Linked DNA regions of Nothobranchius furzeri. The protein of the gene in region 1 purifies or fractionates together with the protein of each later gene. This does not show direct contact. Links are inferred from orthologs where the notes say so. Each region holds a gene or a part of one and is shown in the gene's direction. Other genes may lie near its edges. The genes, in order: katnip and cilk1.

Region 1 (9,129 bases):
ATTTTAAACTCTGCACTTTTCACTCCGAAGTGTTTGGACAATGCAACATATGTTTCATTGTTAAGCAATGCTGGCGTAAGCATTTTGTATGACACTTGATGTTGAAAATCCCAGACCGCTGTTGAAGTTGAGCAGATAAGCTCATCTACTTGATATTTTTAAACACCACTGGGCAAGTTTGGTTTTGCAGATCTCACAGAACTGCTGTAAATGACATTTTACTGTAATTCTGAATACCCATTGTGACATCTGATCCTGTTTTTATGTCATCAGGAAAGAGTTTGTTGAGGGCTGCAAGGCCATCAGGGCGGACAGTATTGAGGGCATCTGCTCACGCTTCACTTACATGCTGCTGGAAGCCCAGGTTGAAGAGAACTTCAAGGACCTTTACCGTTTCACCTTCCAGTTCGGTCTGGACGCCGAAGAGGGCCAACGGTCGCTTCAGCGGGAAATTGCCATCGCACTATGGCGACTGGTTTTCACACAAGACACTCCGGAGATTCTGGAACGCTGGCTGGAGTTTCTAGCCGAGAACCCCTCCGGTATTCGGGGCATCTCCAGGGACACGTGGAACATGTTCCTCAACTTCACCCAGGCCATTGGGTCTGACCTCAGCAACTACAGTGAGGACGAGGCCTGGCCCAGCCTCTTTGACACTTTTGTGGAGTGGGAGTTGGAGCGCAGGAAAAGAGAGGAGGAGCAGGCACTGAAGGCAAAGGAGGAAGAAGGAGGGAGGTGTACGGAGACGGATTGTCCTCCTACCACAGATAGACTTGAAACTGAGGGGAGCCGTGGCTCACAGACATGGGGGGGGCACTGACCAGAAACCATATTTGCTCTCGGGGGAGAGGATATGCTCTATATGTGAACTGTACATGTGGGAATCATTGGATGAATATTAGTATTATCATTTCAGTTATTCAGTTATCTCTCCTGGTATGTTGGGATGGGATTACTGCTATGCTTTATTTTGTTGAAAGGGCTCTATGAACTGTTGTTTTAAGCACTTCTATTTAAGTTATTGGTTTACTTTTCCCCCATCCATTGCGTTTTAAGAATGTGGTTGATGTTTATATATATATATATATATATATATATATATATATATACATACATACATACACCTACCTACCACAACCCATCAGAGTTAGCTCAGTGAATGGGCAGCAGAAAGCCGTGAGCAGATTTAATCTTGAAACATGGTAGATATAATTTGTTCAAGGGGGTCGTTTCTAATGAAGAAGGGAAATCATGTCTTAACTACCTTTTTAAAATCAATTCAAAGTGACAAAAATGAGATGGTGAATCAGTGAGTGGATGGTTTTATGTGTCCGTGTAGCAAGGGTGAGTTTATCATGATTGGCCCACAGATAGTAGGAAAAGGACATTATAATTCAGTCATAGGGGCATTTAAAAAAATACAAATTACAGTTACTTTGGCATACTTTTATCAGTTTGAGTACTTTTAAATCCCAGTTGGTTGTTCTTGTCTCCAGTATTCAGTGTTCTTTGACTTTTGAGTGCTACCTGAACAGTGAGCAGCTTCTGTGCTTTCCCATGACCCGCCAACACATTCTCACACCCAAGGCGTCAAAATACGACGCGTGTGACCAAGCCTCAATATATGACGATTCGGGACGCCCCAGCATGTCAGGAGACTATGATCAGGGACAAACAACTGACGCAGCGTCCCAGAGCGTCGGTGTCCGACGCCGGTGGTGAGACGGACATTAGAAGTACTTGTGAACTACTTAACCTTCCCCTCACCCCAGTCCTAACCTTAAGGTCACAGTTTATGGGCCTTAAGATTAGGATCGGGGTGACGGGAAGGTTAAATAGTCGAATAACGTCCGTGTGACAGCGCGCGTCAAACAGTGACGCCAGCGGAGCCACGTGACCCAGCGTGTCCCTGATCGTCGTCTCCTGACGCACTGGGGCGTCCCGAATCGTCATATATTGAGACTTGGTCACACACGTCATATTATGACGCCTTGGGTGTGAGAATGTGTTGCTCCCGCAACATCTACCATTTTCATGTCCGCCTTCTTTCAACAAACAGTTTTAATGTATGCAACTGAATGAGGTTGGCTTTTCTCAGCTGCCTCGTTCATTTTAATAATGGAATTTTGTATCAAAAATTTGGGTAATTGTTACAGAGGGATGCCTAAACTGCATTAAGCCTGGGCACCTCACAGAGCTTTTGTTGTACTGCAGGAGTTTTAGTCTTTACGTCCTTCGACTGCTAGACACTCAAAATATGTGTGCACACGTCACAAATAATGCAAGTACTGCTGCTGGCAATGGTTGCAATGAATTGCACAGAAACTAATGGCATGCTAATTTGCTGTACTTGGAATGCTTTGCCGAGATTGTTGTTAACCACAATATTACCATTTGAAGCGTATCCAAATTGTAGATTGATCATTATAAGCAAGGGTGTTTTGGAATGAGCTAGTTAGTCCTGCTGGTTAGTCAACAGACTGTGACTTGGGTTGAATGGAAGTGGGTGGCCACTATCTAATTAAACATCTAAAATGGTTTTATTTCATCCCCTTTTATTTTGTTTTTATAAGAAATGTACTGATTTATAATAAATAAAAACAGTGTTGATTTTTTTTGCCATGGAAACCTGTGTGCCTTTATTGTATTTTTCGCACCTTTTTTTTTTTTAATTGAATGGTGAGTTAGAGGGCATAGGTATGTCCGGATGGGGCGTGTCCTTCGCTGCCTCAGCTCTCCTGATTGGTGGAGAGCTCCCCTGGTTACCGAGCAACACAACTCACAGGAGGAAATCCTCCAACATTGGGTAAATCCATCGGTAAATACGATTTTTTTTACACACTAATAATGCAACTCTTTAGGAGTACTGTAAGTATGTCTTGTAATTTGTGAAAAAATGTACATATGAGTAACGTCACTATTTTTCATTACATATGTAAACATCTAGTCACGTAAAACGGATGCATGCTAACTCATTAGCGTATCGGTTTGTTGTTAGCTTTAGCGCGAGGTTGCTAATGTTGCATTGGCTACAACGCGAGCTAGATTAGCCTCTAGCAACACTTTGCGGGTTTAAAGAAGGAAAAAGGACACGATAAAGAAAAAGCCCATCGGCCCATCTCCAGCGATCAACGTGCTAGCTTTTAATGACAAAATCAAATGCCAGGCGCTGTCTTACGCTAACTGCACGTATGTTCACTGGGTTTATTTCGTAATTCAAATGTTTGCTCGTCATTTATCTTTTCTTCCACCAAGTAGCACCTAATTTCTTTGTGATTCTCGCACATATGACAATAAAACCCTTCTGATTCTGATGTTTAAAGGTGCACTTGCTAACAAATGGGGGTTTGTGGAAAAACCTTGAACAGATGTGCTACACGAGATGATGTCATGTAATCACAACCTGGTGCTGCGATGTTTTTGTCGGGTGTGGCGAAATTAAACAAGTCCTTTAAGATGTGTCAAGCAATCTTGAAGCTGCGTTTGTGTGTCATGCTGCAGAGAGGATCAAACTCAACTGGGAGTCACATAATCTCTCTTCAAAAGATGGGATAGTGTTTTCAGATGAGTCCCTGCAGCACGCCATGGAGAAAAAAGTAAGAGATGAGTTTCATGTAACGGCCTCTGTCAGCAGTGCTTTTCATGTCATACCTCATTCCATAAAATCCACTATTGAAAGGATTAAGTGATTCCACATGATGTGTCTCAGGGATCTATCACTAACCAGCATTTTCCTGCTTCTTCACATCTTTCTCTCTTCTCTGCTCCTGAAACTGACATCCTAGTTGACTTGTAAATACTTCAGTAAGAGCTTTGTAATTTCTTTTTATTTATTTGTCACGCATGAATACAGATGAAACTCTAAAACAAGAATATGGTGCAAAATTAATTTATTTTAGTATTTTGCTTTAGACTGAGAGACCATGTAAAGGCTCAGGAACCCTTTGCACGTGTTTTGGATTGATCATCTGATTAGAGTGTGGCACTTTATTGAACCTTTTCACAATATTCTAATTGTCTGAGATTTTGAATGTAGGGTTTTCATCAGCTGTAATCCATTATCATCACAGTTATAACAAATAAAGGTGTGAAATGTCTGGCTTTGCACATAATGAGTCCACCTCACTTCACCTTTAAAGCATAAATGAACATTTGCACTATATTCTAAATTTTTCGAGTTTCACCTGTACTGAAAGTAATGGAACTGCACGAGTGGCTGCATTGTACAGACGACTGATGCTCCTTTTAAAGAGGCTTGTGTTTTGTACGCTCAGATGCATCTGGAGGGATAATGACTGATGATTATTTTAATTTAGCATTGTATGCAAATTGCATAATGATACATCAAGTTCATCTAAATGATTACACAATCTGGTTACCTTAGTTTAGGTGTGTTGATGTACACATAAACACACATGATTTTCATTCTGACATTTGTCAACAATCATTTTATGGATTTAGTTGCGAAGCTGCACCAACACTTTTCTGGTTTGGAGTCAAATCACAAAGACCACATTTGTCTATCTAGAGATAAATTACTGCAGGAAACAGAAGTTGTAGTTCAAATTACTGCACAGTCACTGCTTAACCTAAGTAGCACATAACAGGGCTATATTACAACAAAAAGGCTCAGTTGAAAAATAAACAAGTATTGATGGTTGAGAAAAAGCAGTTGTGGCTTGGATTTATTTAATTTTTTTTCATTCATACATAGATTTTGTGATATTTCTAACAAACGTGACAACTTGTCACTTTACATAACTTTAACTGAAGCTTTGTTTACACATCTAGAGGAGCATTTTGCATGCATGAATGTTGTGGTGCGTAGAATTATGTTGGTATAGGTTGTAAATACATTTGTGTGTTCATTAGGAAGTTTCTTTCCTCTATGCTTTCCTGACTCTGTGTGTGTGTGTGTGTGTGTGTGTGTGTGTGTGTGTGTGTGTGTGTGTGTGTGTGTGTGTGTGTGTGTGTGTGTGTGTGTGTGTGTGTGTGTGTGTGTGTGTGTGTGTGTGTGTGTGTGTGTGTGTGTGTGTGTGTGTGTGTGTGTGTGTGTGTGTGTGTGTGTGTGTGTGTGTGTGTGTGTGTGTGCGCGCGCGCGTGTGAAGGAGAGTGAGACGTACCGAGGAGAGAAGCCTGCCTCTGCCGGAGATGACACTCTGGATGAATATTTAATTGACCTCCAGCACAAAAACAGGTGACGTGTGTGTGAGCACAGGCTGCTGCAGATGGACTGATTGGATTTCACAGAGGAAATGCATCACAGTTTTGTTTTCTAACAGTTTGAAGCTCTGTTTAGTTTGGTGCTTTTGTTTAGAGGAAAAACACGTTTTTATTTAAAATAGTAAAAGCATACATTTGAAAATGTTTGGTTGAATTTAGCGAAAACATTTTTAGACTTTTCTTCATCAGATACAGCATATAGCATTATTTATTTACATTTTCATTTATGCTTTGCAGAATCCTAAAGCGCCTCAGAGTGAAAAATCCAAGAGAGATCGAATTGGAGCAGCTGGAGCAAGGCTTCTCAATTTATCTGAACGGCGCTAATGCTGAGTCCAGTAGGAAGCAGCTCAAGAACCCCAAAAACAAGCCAGAGGCCCCTCAGCCAGCCGGGAGGCCTGCACGCACAGCCGGTATGCAGCTAGGCGAGTGTAAATGTTTGCTCCTATGTAAGACCTTGATTATACTTTCATTAGTTATTTATGAGCTTGTGCTTTGGGATTGTGCTAAAAGCTGCAGGTCCCTCTGTCGTGTGTAAAGCATATGGAGCATGAGCTAATTGCCACCGCTCTGCTGCTTGTTTTGTGTGAGTCCATGCCCGGTCTCAGTGATTAAACAATAGTGACAGTTGTAGCTGCCAGCTTTCTTCTGGTGCTTCCTTTATGTGCTGTGGACCATCTGCATGTACGAGTTTAGTGTTTTCTCTCCTCTGAGGCTATAGTCTGCAGCGAGTTGCTCATGTTCCTTTCTGTGCTGTGACTCATCCTCAGATTTCTGGATAAGCGCCCACCATCTAACTGAAGATAGCCGTAATCCGGATCAGTCGGGCAGGAAGAGGAGCCAGACTGCTCCAGCAAAGGTCCAGAGGAAAGAATGGGTGCAGGTAAAGAGCTTTGATGTCTTAATTTGTTGTTTTATATAAAAATACATATAAGTGCATGTAGTAACAATATCTTCTTATCTGATGTGTGCAGGGTTGTGTTAAAATTCAAACCGAGCATGGCCCAAGTTTGGAAATATCTCCAGCGACGTGCTACTCTGACGATTTTGAGGCTTATGAAAGTGTGAACATGGAGGTAGAGTGACAATTCCTGCCAAGACACTGTGTGTGGGTTTTGTCGTTTTAGGGGAGGAGCTGTGTGTCACACGCAACTCTCCTAACACCTCTCTGTCTCTCCCCTTTCCTTATTTCTCTTTCTCCATGTTTGCTACAGCGCTCTAGTCTGCGCTCGCCATGTAGTCCTCGGAGTCAAAGAGACGCCTGCAGGGTTTCTCGCTCCTTCAGCTCCAGAGCTGAGTGCCAGGAAGACCAGGGCAACCAGGAGCACAGCGAGAAGGTGCTCCTCAACCTCGAGGAAGTGAAGGTGAGAGGAAAACCACCCATGACCTTAAGATTTGGTGAGTTTCACATGTTACTGTGATGCTGCCTGGTGTTAAGTGATGATTTCAGATCTACTCACAGAGGTCAGGGAAATCCCTACACTCATGTCCCCTCTCTTGTGTATTTGCGCCTGTGTGAGCACTGATGCATGAATAAAAACTGTCTCTTTGTATGCTAGGTGTTGCGTCGGAGCCTGGAGGTTAGCATGCGACGGAGCAGCAGCGGCTCAGCAGGGGAGGAGTCCGACGAGGAGTGGGTAGAGGAGCAGATTGAGAGGGATGAGAGCACCGAGAGTCTGGATGAACTTGGGCTGCCTCTTTCCTCCTCCAAGTCCTCCACTCATTCTCGGACAGGCGGGAGTCACGGCCATTTTGACTCCGCAAACCTCATTGTTCTGGACTTTGGCCCCTCACCTAAAGGTAGTCTTTAAGGATCTTCTCCTCAACATTGACTAAACTAAGCAATCATACCAGCTGTTCGACAGCTATAGGTCTAATGTCTGGTTTTATTAGCGAACGCGTCCTCTATCTGCTGCAGGTCGTAAACTTGAACGTTCTCTGTCTGCCAAGAGGAATGAAAGTGTTGACCCCTTCATACCCACTAAGCCTCTGTTGGTCAAGAGCAAAACATTAGATAGGCCTCCTTCTAAAGACAGCTGGGATGATCAGAGTGAGTCATTTCACCTTTTAAAGTGTCTCTTTATGCTTAAATTAAAGAGATTATTCTTCCCGATTCTGATTTTCCAGGTCTGAATAGGTCTTCTTTTACAATCCTGTTATAAAAAGGTAAATGTACAGTTTTTGCTTCATATAACAGGTTTTTTGTTATTTTTGTTTAAGGGCCGTGGAGTCGCACGGAAAGGCTCGTTTCGTCATCCAGAAAGACTTCTGTTGATGAGCGAGACCCTGAAGAGGTGGCGTTCAGTGTGTGCCAAGCCATACAGAGAGAGAACACCCCAGTGAAGAGCCCTGATCTCGTGAGCCGCAGCACGCTCTGCCTCCTGATTATTCCCGTTTCCTCGTTTAGCTAGCAGCCAATGCTTTAACTTCACCATTTGCAGGTGTTTGATAAGTAGGTAAAGTTTTATAGCACCTATTACAGAAAGAAAAAGGTGCGTCACAATGAAAATTACATCAAAATTCAAACATAAGGCTTTAAATGTTCAGTAATATAGGGAGGAGCATTGAAAGTTCTTGTCAGGATTCTAAAATGAACTCTAAAGTTAACGGGTAACCAGTGCAGAGACATTAGAATGGGAGTGATGTTTGCACCAGTTTGGAGCCTCGCTGCAGAGTTCTGGACCAACTGAAGGCGGTCAAGGGCTTTTTTGTTAAAACGTGAAAAGTGTGTTACAGTAATCTAGACAGGAGGAGATAAAGGCATGGATAACCATTTCAAGTTCATGTTTTGACACCAACCATCACAGTTTGGAAACGTTTCTCACGTGATTAGAACCGTTTTGGACCAGCGTTGGTAGTGGGAGAAATTATGAAATGACTTAATTTTCTGTCTAAGAGGGTATATGTTTAAAAACAGGGTACCCCAAAACAGAGCCTTGGGGTACCTCACAGAACAGATCCGTAGAATCGGACATGATTTGGTTTTTACTGAGTTTGAACCTTCTGTTGATCTATTGCTCCTTCAATAGTGACTTTAGATCTACACACACACACACACACACACACACACACACACACACACACACACACACACACACACACACACACACACACACACACACACACACACACACACACTGTTTTCTCTAGGCTTCAGCTTTGACATCATGCTTGATTTGGCTTCTGTGTGATTTTACTGGTTTCTGTCCTTCCAGGTCTGGGGCCATCAGACCACAAATGGCCTTAAGCAACACAAAAAGGATGAGAACAACATCACTCGGGCCATGCAGGGAATAACGCTAATGGGTCACAGGTATGCTTAAAGCAGTGACACTAAAATCACTATATGCAGTCAGTGGTGGGGGGAAACCACACATCTGTATCCTTTTCGTCATAAAATTAAATGAAGCCTAACACCAAATAAAGAAATTGAAGAACCATCACTTGCCATCTTTTGTGACAGAGTTTTAAACCAAGATGATAATGTTCCTGTGGTTCGTCAGATTAACTGACACAGGCAGAAACATCGTTACCTGCCTTTTAGCAGCAGGCGATAAAATACACAGTAAAGGCTTATTCTTAAAGATGAATGCTCTGAAGTAGCAGCTGTGGTGCTCAGAACATTAATCTCAAGTATCATCATTCTGTCCAGGCAGCAGGAGAAACTCCTGAAAGCCTTGGTGGAACTGGAAGTTGGACCTAGGCACAAAATCCCTCCCAGCGTCCAAACGGACAACAGCAAGCAGCCAGTGAGTCCCCGGCACTGGCCTGCAGGTCAGCCTGATTAACCCGGAGACTTCTAGGTGTCACTCTGGTGAAATGGTCTTACGTTGCACTTGCAGAAAGGGCAGTCGTCAGCAGAGGTCACCCCGGCCTCGTACGTTACCATGGAGATTCTGTCCAACT
Region 2 (7,128 bases), on another chromosome or scaffold:
GCATGCTTGTTTATTTCCCGCCTGAGGAAAGCTGTGATTTGTAGTGAGAAAACAGGGAAACAACGGTTTTTTGTAATAACGCGAGATTTTGTGGAGCTCTCCGACGGAAGGGCCTGGCTGTTTGATAATTGACGTTCAGTCGTGGACATCTGGGATGTTTATAAAGAGATTAATTGAATACACTACTTTTTAAAAGCACGTAGCTAAACATCGACTATACAAATGTCGGGATAGGTGTTGTCGGTTAGAAGCAGACAGGTGAGTTTTATGTCGCTCCTTTTATTGGGTGTCAGTTAGGATCATCCCTGCTAGACAACGGTTGTCTCTGCATCGCTGTTTTTATCAGAAAATGCTACGGTGCGGTTAGTATCTGCTTTACTTACATGCCAAAGTTTAGCATCAAACAGCCTGGTAGGTTTTAGTAACACATCTGATTATCTGTATTTACTGTATCACCCATGATGCTTTGAGCTTTTTTTAGGCACATTTACCTTAATTGTGATTGGTGTTTTTTTATTGTCCTAAAAAGTTGTAACAACAATAAAATGTGGAAAAATACTCCCAGTCAACAACTACCAAAGAAAATTAGGATAAATGTATGATCTCAGCTTTTTTTGGTGGTAATATGAAAAGTATAATCATATATTTTCCATAATTTCGTATTAAAAACCGAAAAAAAATCTATAACTATAAGTAGAAACTGGCAGTTTTTCTTTCATAAATTTTGTCAAAAATGGTGCAAGCATTTGGATAATTTATTTAAACTTTAAATGAGTTTAATGGTTCTTTTGAAACTCACAAGCAACTACTGAGGAGATGCACATTTATTAGTAGCTTGTGCTCGGTAGTAATCATGGAAAACTAACATTAGTTCTTGTTTTATTTTTGGATCCATTCACCATGAAGGAGGGACGTTTGTGACACCATGAGTCCTCCAGCTCAGCCCACGGTCTTCTGCATTTGTCACAGGAAAATCTGGTTGCACTCAGCAGTAGGAGCTGAACACGTCCATTTTTCCTCCTAATTCTTGTCTTGCCTTGAGGAAAAATATGAGAGGACATGCACAATGAATAGATACAACACCATCAGGCAGCTCGGGGATGGCACCTATGGATCGGTCAGCCTCGGCCGCAGTCTGGAGTCAGGAGAGCTGGTTGCTATAAAGAAGTGAGTATTTGGCAACTTCCTCATTTTTTAAGAGCTTGTGATCTGTGCAGCATTGTGTGCTGACTTTCTAATTTACCTAATGACATGTAGAAGAGATGCTGTGCAGCAACATGAAGCAATGATTAGAGGTAATTCAATAGAAATCTGTATTTTCCAGAATGAAACGAAAGTTCTACTCTTGGGAAGAATGCATGAACCTTCGAGAAGTCAAGGTAAGTTTCACCAGTCATATGAGAAAATAAACCAGACAAAACAAAAATGTTACCCGTATCATTAACCTTGGTTTTACCATAAACGGTACAAATTTACCTGTCACAATCAGTGGTGCTGCCAGAGAAATTTCTAGGGGTGGCAATGCCCCCCAGCCACCGTTTGTGGGCACCACTAATCAAGAGTGTTGATGGGCATCGCTTTAGTCATTATTTTAATTTATGAACTTAATTCATCATGAAATATACAAATGCTGATTTGTGTGTGATGTTATTAGTTGACAAATAATTCAGTACATTTTTCCCCATACCAGTTTAATATGTTACTGTTCAGATTTCCTCCCACCAGCACACAGAGCAGAAGGTGATTCTTGTTTTTATTTTAGCTCCTGGTCCACATGACCACCTGATCCTTTCTTTGTAGAGCTTGGTCTTATTGTAGCAAAACATAAACATGCTGAGGGTCCTGCTGAGTAGTTCACAATTACAGCATGTCACTGTTGGCTCTCAAAGCCTTTTTTCAGCTTCTCCCTTTTGACTAAAACTGTAGCATGGTTGAACATTCATCATCCCGGTGCATCCCGCTACCTTTTCAATTTTCAAGAGCAAATCCCTCTTTTGCAGCATTTTCCCCCCAATAAACTTCACTATTTTCTTGAATTTACCCAAGAAATAATGGTATGGATAGCTGTAGGTAGAGCGTGCCTTTGAATGTGACCTGTTTGCTCTCCCTCCAGCATGGTCAAGATTCAATTATTTACTCCCGCCTTTACTTCCTGTTTGTACATTTCTTACACAACCTGTTTCTTTATTCTTTCAGTCACTAAAGAAACTCAATCATGCAAATGTGATCAAACTAAAGGAGGTCATTCGAGAAAATGATCACTTGTACTTTATATTTGAGTACATGAAGGAGAACTTATACCAGCTAATGAAAGATAGGTGTGTACATTTTGGCGTTTTTGCACAATTTATGCACATTTGAGGAAAAAGCTCGATGTTTTCTAAATTGTTTTCTCTTTTCTTGCTCTAGAGCACGTTTGTTTCCTGAATCTGCCATCAGAAATATTATGTTTCAGATCCTGCAGGGACTCGCATTTATCCACAAACATGGTGCGGATGCTTCTCAGTCGTGGTACGACTAATGGGCTCGACACACGGGAGGCGACAAACGACCGCGATCAGCGAAATTTGTCGCTGTCGCTTTTATTACCTGTCACACGGGAGGCGATCCGCGGCAGCGGCCAGCGGCAAAGCCGTCTACGCGTTCTGTTCCATGACGAAATCCAAACTTCCGTTGTTTTGTTTGGCTGTGTCAGGTTGGAGGGAATTAAGGTTATTTAAGCGGTTCAGAGTTAATAAAGTGGTAGATATGATGTTTCACAAGGTGCTGCTAGAGTTATGTGAAATCTTACTTCTGATTTTACTATAAAACATAATAATAATCAACTTCTCCTCCATGTTTGCTCGGAGAAGTGCGGAGCATCCTGTCCGCTCATTGGTCAGTGAATGAAACCTCCGTTGATTGGTCCTCGCCCAAGCGACAGCGATGAAAAGTTGAAAATGTTTCAACTTTCTGGGATCGCGTTGCTGGGTCGCACGTGCACGACACGTGCACGAGTGCAAACTTTCACACGCACGTTTTTCGCGTTTCGCTTGGTGGGAGGGAGACCCGCGATTATCGCTTTGTCGCGCATGTCTCATTGAAAATGAATGGAGGAGAGGCGATGTCGCCTCCCGTGTGTCGAGCCCATAACGGTTAGTCCCATCGGAGTGAGGAGGATGATGATGTATTGTGTCTCCACCAGGGTTTTTCCACAGGGACATGAAACCGGAGAATCTTCTGTGCATGGGTCCAGAGCTGGTGAAGATAGCCGACTTTGGACTCGCCCGCGAGATCAGATCTCGACCACCGTACACAGACTACGTCTCAACTAGATGGTGAGTTGTAAATGGCCTGTATTTGTATAGCGCCTTCTTAGGGGTCTACAACCCCCCAAGGCGCTTCACAACACAATCAGTCATCCACACACATTCACACGCTGGTGGGGATAAGCTACGATGTAGCCACAGCTCAGCTGACCTGGGGCGCATTGAGAGAGTTGAGTCTGCCGTACGCAGGCACCACCGGTCCCTCCGACCACCTCCAGCAGGCAAGGCGGGTTAAGTGTCTTGCCCAAGGACACAACAGCATTCTATGGTGGGAGCCGAGATCAAACCTGCAACCTTCCTATTATTGGACAACCCTCTCTAGCTCCTGAGCTCCTGTTGTAAACATAACGCATACCTGTGGAGGACTTTCACTGCCAAAATAGACAATAAATAAATACATTAAGAAATAGTACAAATAAACACATGAAGAAATACCAATGGAAATAAGTAAATAAAAATTTTGGGGGGAATAAATCAATAAATGAGGAAATAAAATTGTGAATAAATGAATGTGGAAATAAAAATGGACAAATAATATATGAGGAAAGAGTTAAATTAAATATTAAACAAATTAATGTGGCAATAATTGAAAAGATTAAATATAAGAGGAAATAACAGTGAAAATAAATAAATGCATTTCTAAATAAAAATAAAAAAACTGAAAAATATTAATTTTAAGAAATAAATCTATCAATTAGGAAAGAAGGAAATAAAGTTGTATCCTAAATTAATGAAATAAATTTTGTTTTTAATAAATATATTTGGAAATAAATACACATTATTTACTGTTAGGGCAGGAAGAGTCCTTCATACGTACCTGCTTTAGCTCAAATGAAAGGATGTTTTGTTTCTGGACCAGGTACAGAGCTCCAGAGGTGCTGCTCAGATCCACATCCTACAACTCGCCCATAGACCAGTGGGCAGTCGGCTGCATCATGGCGGAGCTTTACACGCTCAGGCCTCTTTTCCCCGGATCAAGCGAAGTTGACACCATATTCAAGATTTGCCAAGTCCTGGGGACACCAAAGAAGGTGGTGATACGATCAATGAAATAAAATAAAAAACAAGAAAAGTGACAACATTCAAGCAAGTTTATAAGTTGAACTCTGTTAAAAGTGGAATAAAACGTTCTTCAAACGTTTTTCTCCTTTTAGAATGATTGGGCCGAGGGATACCAGCTGGCGAGTGCCATGAATTTTCGCTGGCCTCAGTGCGTTCCCAATAATCTGAAGACATTGATCCCAAATGCCAGTCCTGACGCCATCCATCTGATGATGGACCTGCTTCAGTGGGATCCCAAGAAGAGACCAGCCTCTGCTCAGGTAGCATCCATACTGCTCTCACGTCCAGGCAGACTCAATAAAAGCTAACTCTGCTTGCTCTAATCGTTTTTTAAAGGCTCTCAGGTACTCCTACTTCCACGTGGGCCAGGCTTTGGGAACTCCTCAGCAGATCCTGGATCAGGGCAGACCTCAGCTCGGCCTCGTGCATCTGCAGACGCCCTTACAGACGCAGCAGCAGCAGCCTCTGCTGTTGAAGCCAGTGCCCCCCTCCCAGCCTCCGCCTTCTAACCAGCACAGCCCTCCCTCCAGGCCGCTCCATCAGATCCAGACCTCCCCTGCACCAGCAGCTGCCCAGCCGGCAGCTTACCAGCGGCACACGGAGCTGGTTCGGGAGCAGCAGCAGCCAAAGCACATCCTGAAACAGGAGCAGATGGAGGGAACCCCTCAGCGCCGTCTCCCTTACATCGTAGACAAGGGCCACCAGGAAAAGGTGTGGAAACCTTTCACGTTTTTATGGAAGGAAGCCTTTTGGGATATTCTGAGCTTGTCTAACACCCGTGGTTGATGTTTGTTTTGTAGCAAACGCAGCAGGATGTACACAATTTAAGCCTGCTTGGCTATCAGCTGAAGCCTAAAGGAGGGCGGCGGCGTTGGGGACATGCAGCTGGACACGTTAAAGGAGAAGACTGGGACAACTACGAGGAGACTGATCCGTACTCCATCAGTATCCTTGGAAAACCTAACTTCTCATCAGAGAAGTCGAGACAAGGAGACGACTCTCTGAGCAGGTGATGCTACTGATCACTCGGGTTATGTACGAAGTGTTTAAAAAACATAAATCTACGACTGGTTTGCTTCTCTGCAGGTTTGGAACTGTTCTGGATTTCAGTCGACGCAGCGGAAAAGAAGATGCACCTTTAAACCTGAACAAGACCGCAGCCTATCAAGAGCCATCAAGAACGGCCTCTGCCAAGCAGCATTACCTGAGGCAGTCCAGATATCTACCTGGTATTATACGCTTCTTTTTTATTTGTGATTTTAATAAATATTGGTCAGTAATCTCTTCTTGTCTCCTTCAGGCATCAGTACTAAGAAGAACGTAGCCATGAATGCCAGTAAAGAATTCCCAGGAAGCCATTATTGTGGCAGCAGCAGTATTCCGTTTGGAGGGACCCTGCCAAGCAGAGGAGCTCATGGTAACATCGTTGTAACCATTACCTTGCTTTTCTACCGGGTGCGTAATGTGGCGCGTAGTGTAAGCAGAGCGTGATGATGTCTTCCCCACAAACTCAGCAGCACGCACATTCCCACCGGGAGCATTTCAGGTATGAAACTGCAGCGAATGCTTTCCACGCTGTTGGTCCTGCAAGGTCACAAAATCACCAGAGAATTGCAAGACCGTTCAGGACTTTGGCAGTTCACGCTATAACGAGCAAAGAGAAGGACGGCGCAATGTATCAATGTGATTTATTATCTGTTCTGTTTACAGGTAATGATGTAGTTTTTTTTTTTCATTATTCAGAGACTGGAAATCTGCACACTTTTATTTAGAAATTTTAAGGATGTTTTACACTGCTTCTGTGTTTGACTTCCTGTCTCTTCCGAACTGGAAGCGCAGCACCTTACTCTGAGTGAATTTAGCGAAGCTGAACGTCACACTTCTGGGATGCATCCAAAACACGACGTGACGCTTCGCAGGCGGGGGAAACGGACCCATTAACTCTAACGGTGGCTAATTGCTGCGCACTACCTTTCGAGAACGTTAAGCAACATTAACACATCCGTGGAAAGGCCCGGTTACGACATATCACGGTCAGCAAGATTCAACCCAACATTTTAATTTAATTTTATTTTATTTTTGCTCATCAGGCACAAATACGATCCCAGGTGATTACATGCCATCATTTTACAAGAAAGACAACGGCTCAGTTGGTCACAGCAGAGGCCGTCAGGGTGTTTCCATGGAAACAAGTGAGCTCTAATATCTGTTTTTGCTTCTGTCTGATGACCCTTCACAAACTGTTTCCCTACACTTATTTATTTATTTTTTTAGATTATGCAACTTGGCGGTCTGGCCGGAGCCACATGAACCCATCGGCCGGCGTGCCGACAGCCAACAAGAGCAGCTCCAGTCTGCTGCCTCGCCCGCCGCTACAGACCATTCATGGACGAACAGACTGGTCAGCCAAATACGGACACCGCTAGCGGCTATTTGTATTCTTACAAACTCTCTCACTTCCAAAGAGTAGTTGTTTTTAAATTCTGATCTGTACATAAATGCTCTACAGCAATACGTTTGGTTTATTGTGTGTATTATGGATGCTGTGTGATGTAAAATATTGGATTGTGAATGCAGCCCCTCAGTGTTTCTGTATTATACATATATATATATGGAGAGGTTTCACCTCACTTTTGTATTGTTTACCCACTTATATGCATAAACGATATAAAACCTCACTGATTTATTTTTGACAGATTATTTGTACACCTCTATCAGTCACTGCCCTTATTTCTCACTTGTTTGTGTAGCGAAATGT

Evidence for each region.
Region 2: the proteins of katnip (region 1) and cilk1 purify together in Homo sapiens (affinity purification with mass spectrometry; 3 studies listed by BioGRID and IntAct, with this or other methods). This does not show direct contact. The link is inferred for Nothobranchius furzeri from reciprocal best matches to the Homo sapiens genes KATNIP and CILK1.

Annotation. Positions count from the first base shown.
Region 1 is NC_091756.1:31,630,694-31,639,822, forward strand, and holds the start of katnip (katanin-interacting protein), read left to right. Parts: upstream 1-2,919; 5' UTR 2,920-3,146; coding exon 3,147-3,189; intron 3,190-3,501; coding exon 3,502-3,596; intron 3,597-5,108; coding exon 5,109-5,197; intron 5,198-5,460; coding exon 5,461-5,636; intron 5,637-5,993; coding exon 5,994-6,106; intron 6,107-6,197; coding exon 6,198-6,299; intron 6,300-6,437; coding exon 6,438-6,587; intron 6,588-6,782; coding exon 6,783-7,023; intron 7,024-7,141; coding exon 7,142-7,273; intron 7,274-7,443; coding exon 7,444-7,580; intron 7,581-8,438; coding exon 8,439-8,536; intron 8,537-8,875; coding exon 8,876-8,972; intron 8,973-9,065; coding exon 9,066-9,129. Other genes in the region: dcun1d3 (DCN1-like protein 3), read left to right, coding at 274-820. UniProt on the Homo sapiens protein: May influence the stability of microtubules (MT), possibly through interaction with the MT-severing katanin complex.
Region 2 is NC_091752.1:23,718,342-23,725,469, forward strand, and holds cilk1 (serine/threonine-protein kinase ICK), read left to right. Parts: upstream 1-112; 5' UTR 113-258; intron 259-906; 5' UTR 907-1,066; coding exon 1,067-1,167; intron 1,168-1,324; coding exon 1,325-1,379; intron 1,380-2,196; coding exon 2,197-2,318; intron 2,319-2,409; coding exon 2,410-2,489; intron 2,490-3,184; coding exon 3,185-3,317; intron 3,318-4,167; coding exon 4,168-4,339; intron 4,340-4,462; coding exon 4,463-4,630; intron 4,631-4,706; coding exon 4,707-5,081; intron 5,082-5,170; coding exon 5,171-5,379; intron 5,380-5,456; coding exon 5,457-5,599; intron 5,600-5,670; coding exon 5,671-5,787; intron 5,788-6,460; coding exon 6,461-6,562; intron 6,563-6,644; coding exon 6,645-6,796; 3' UTR 6,797-7,048; downstream 7,049-7,128.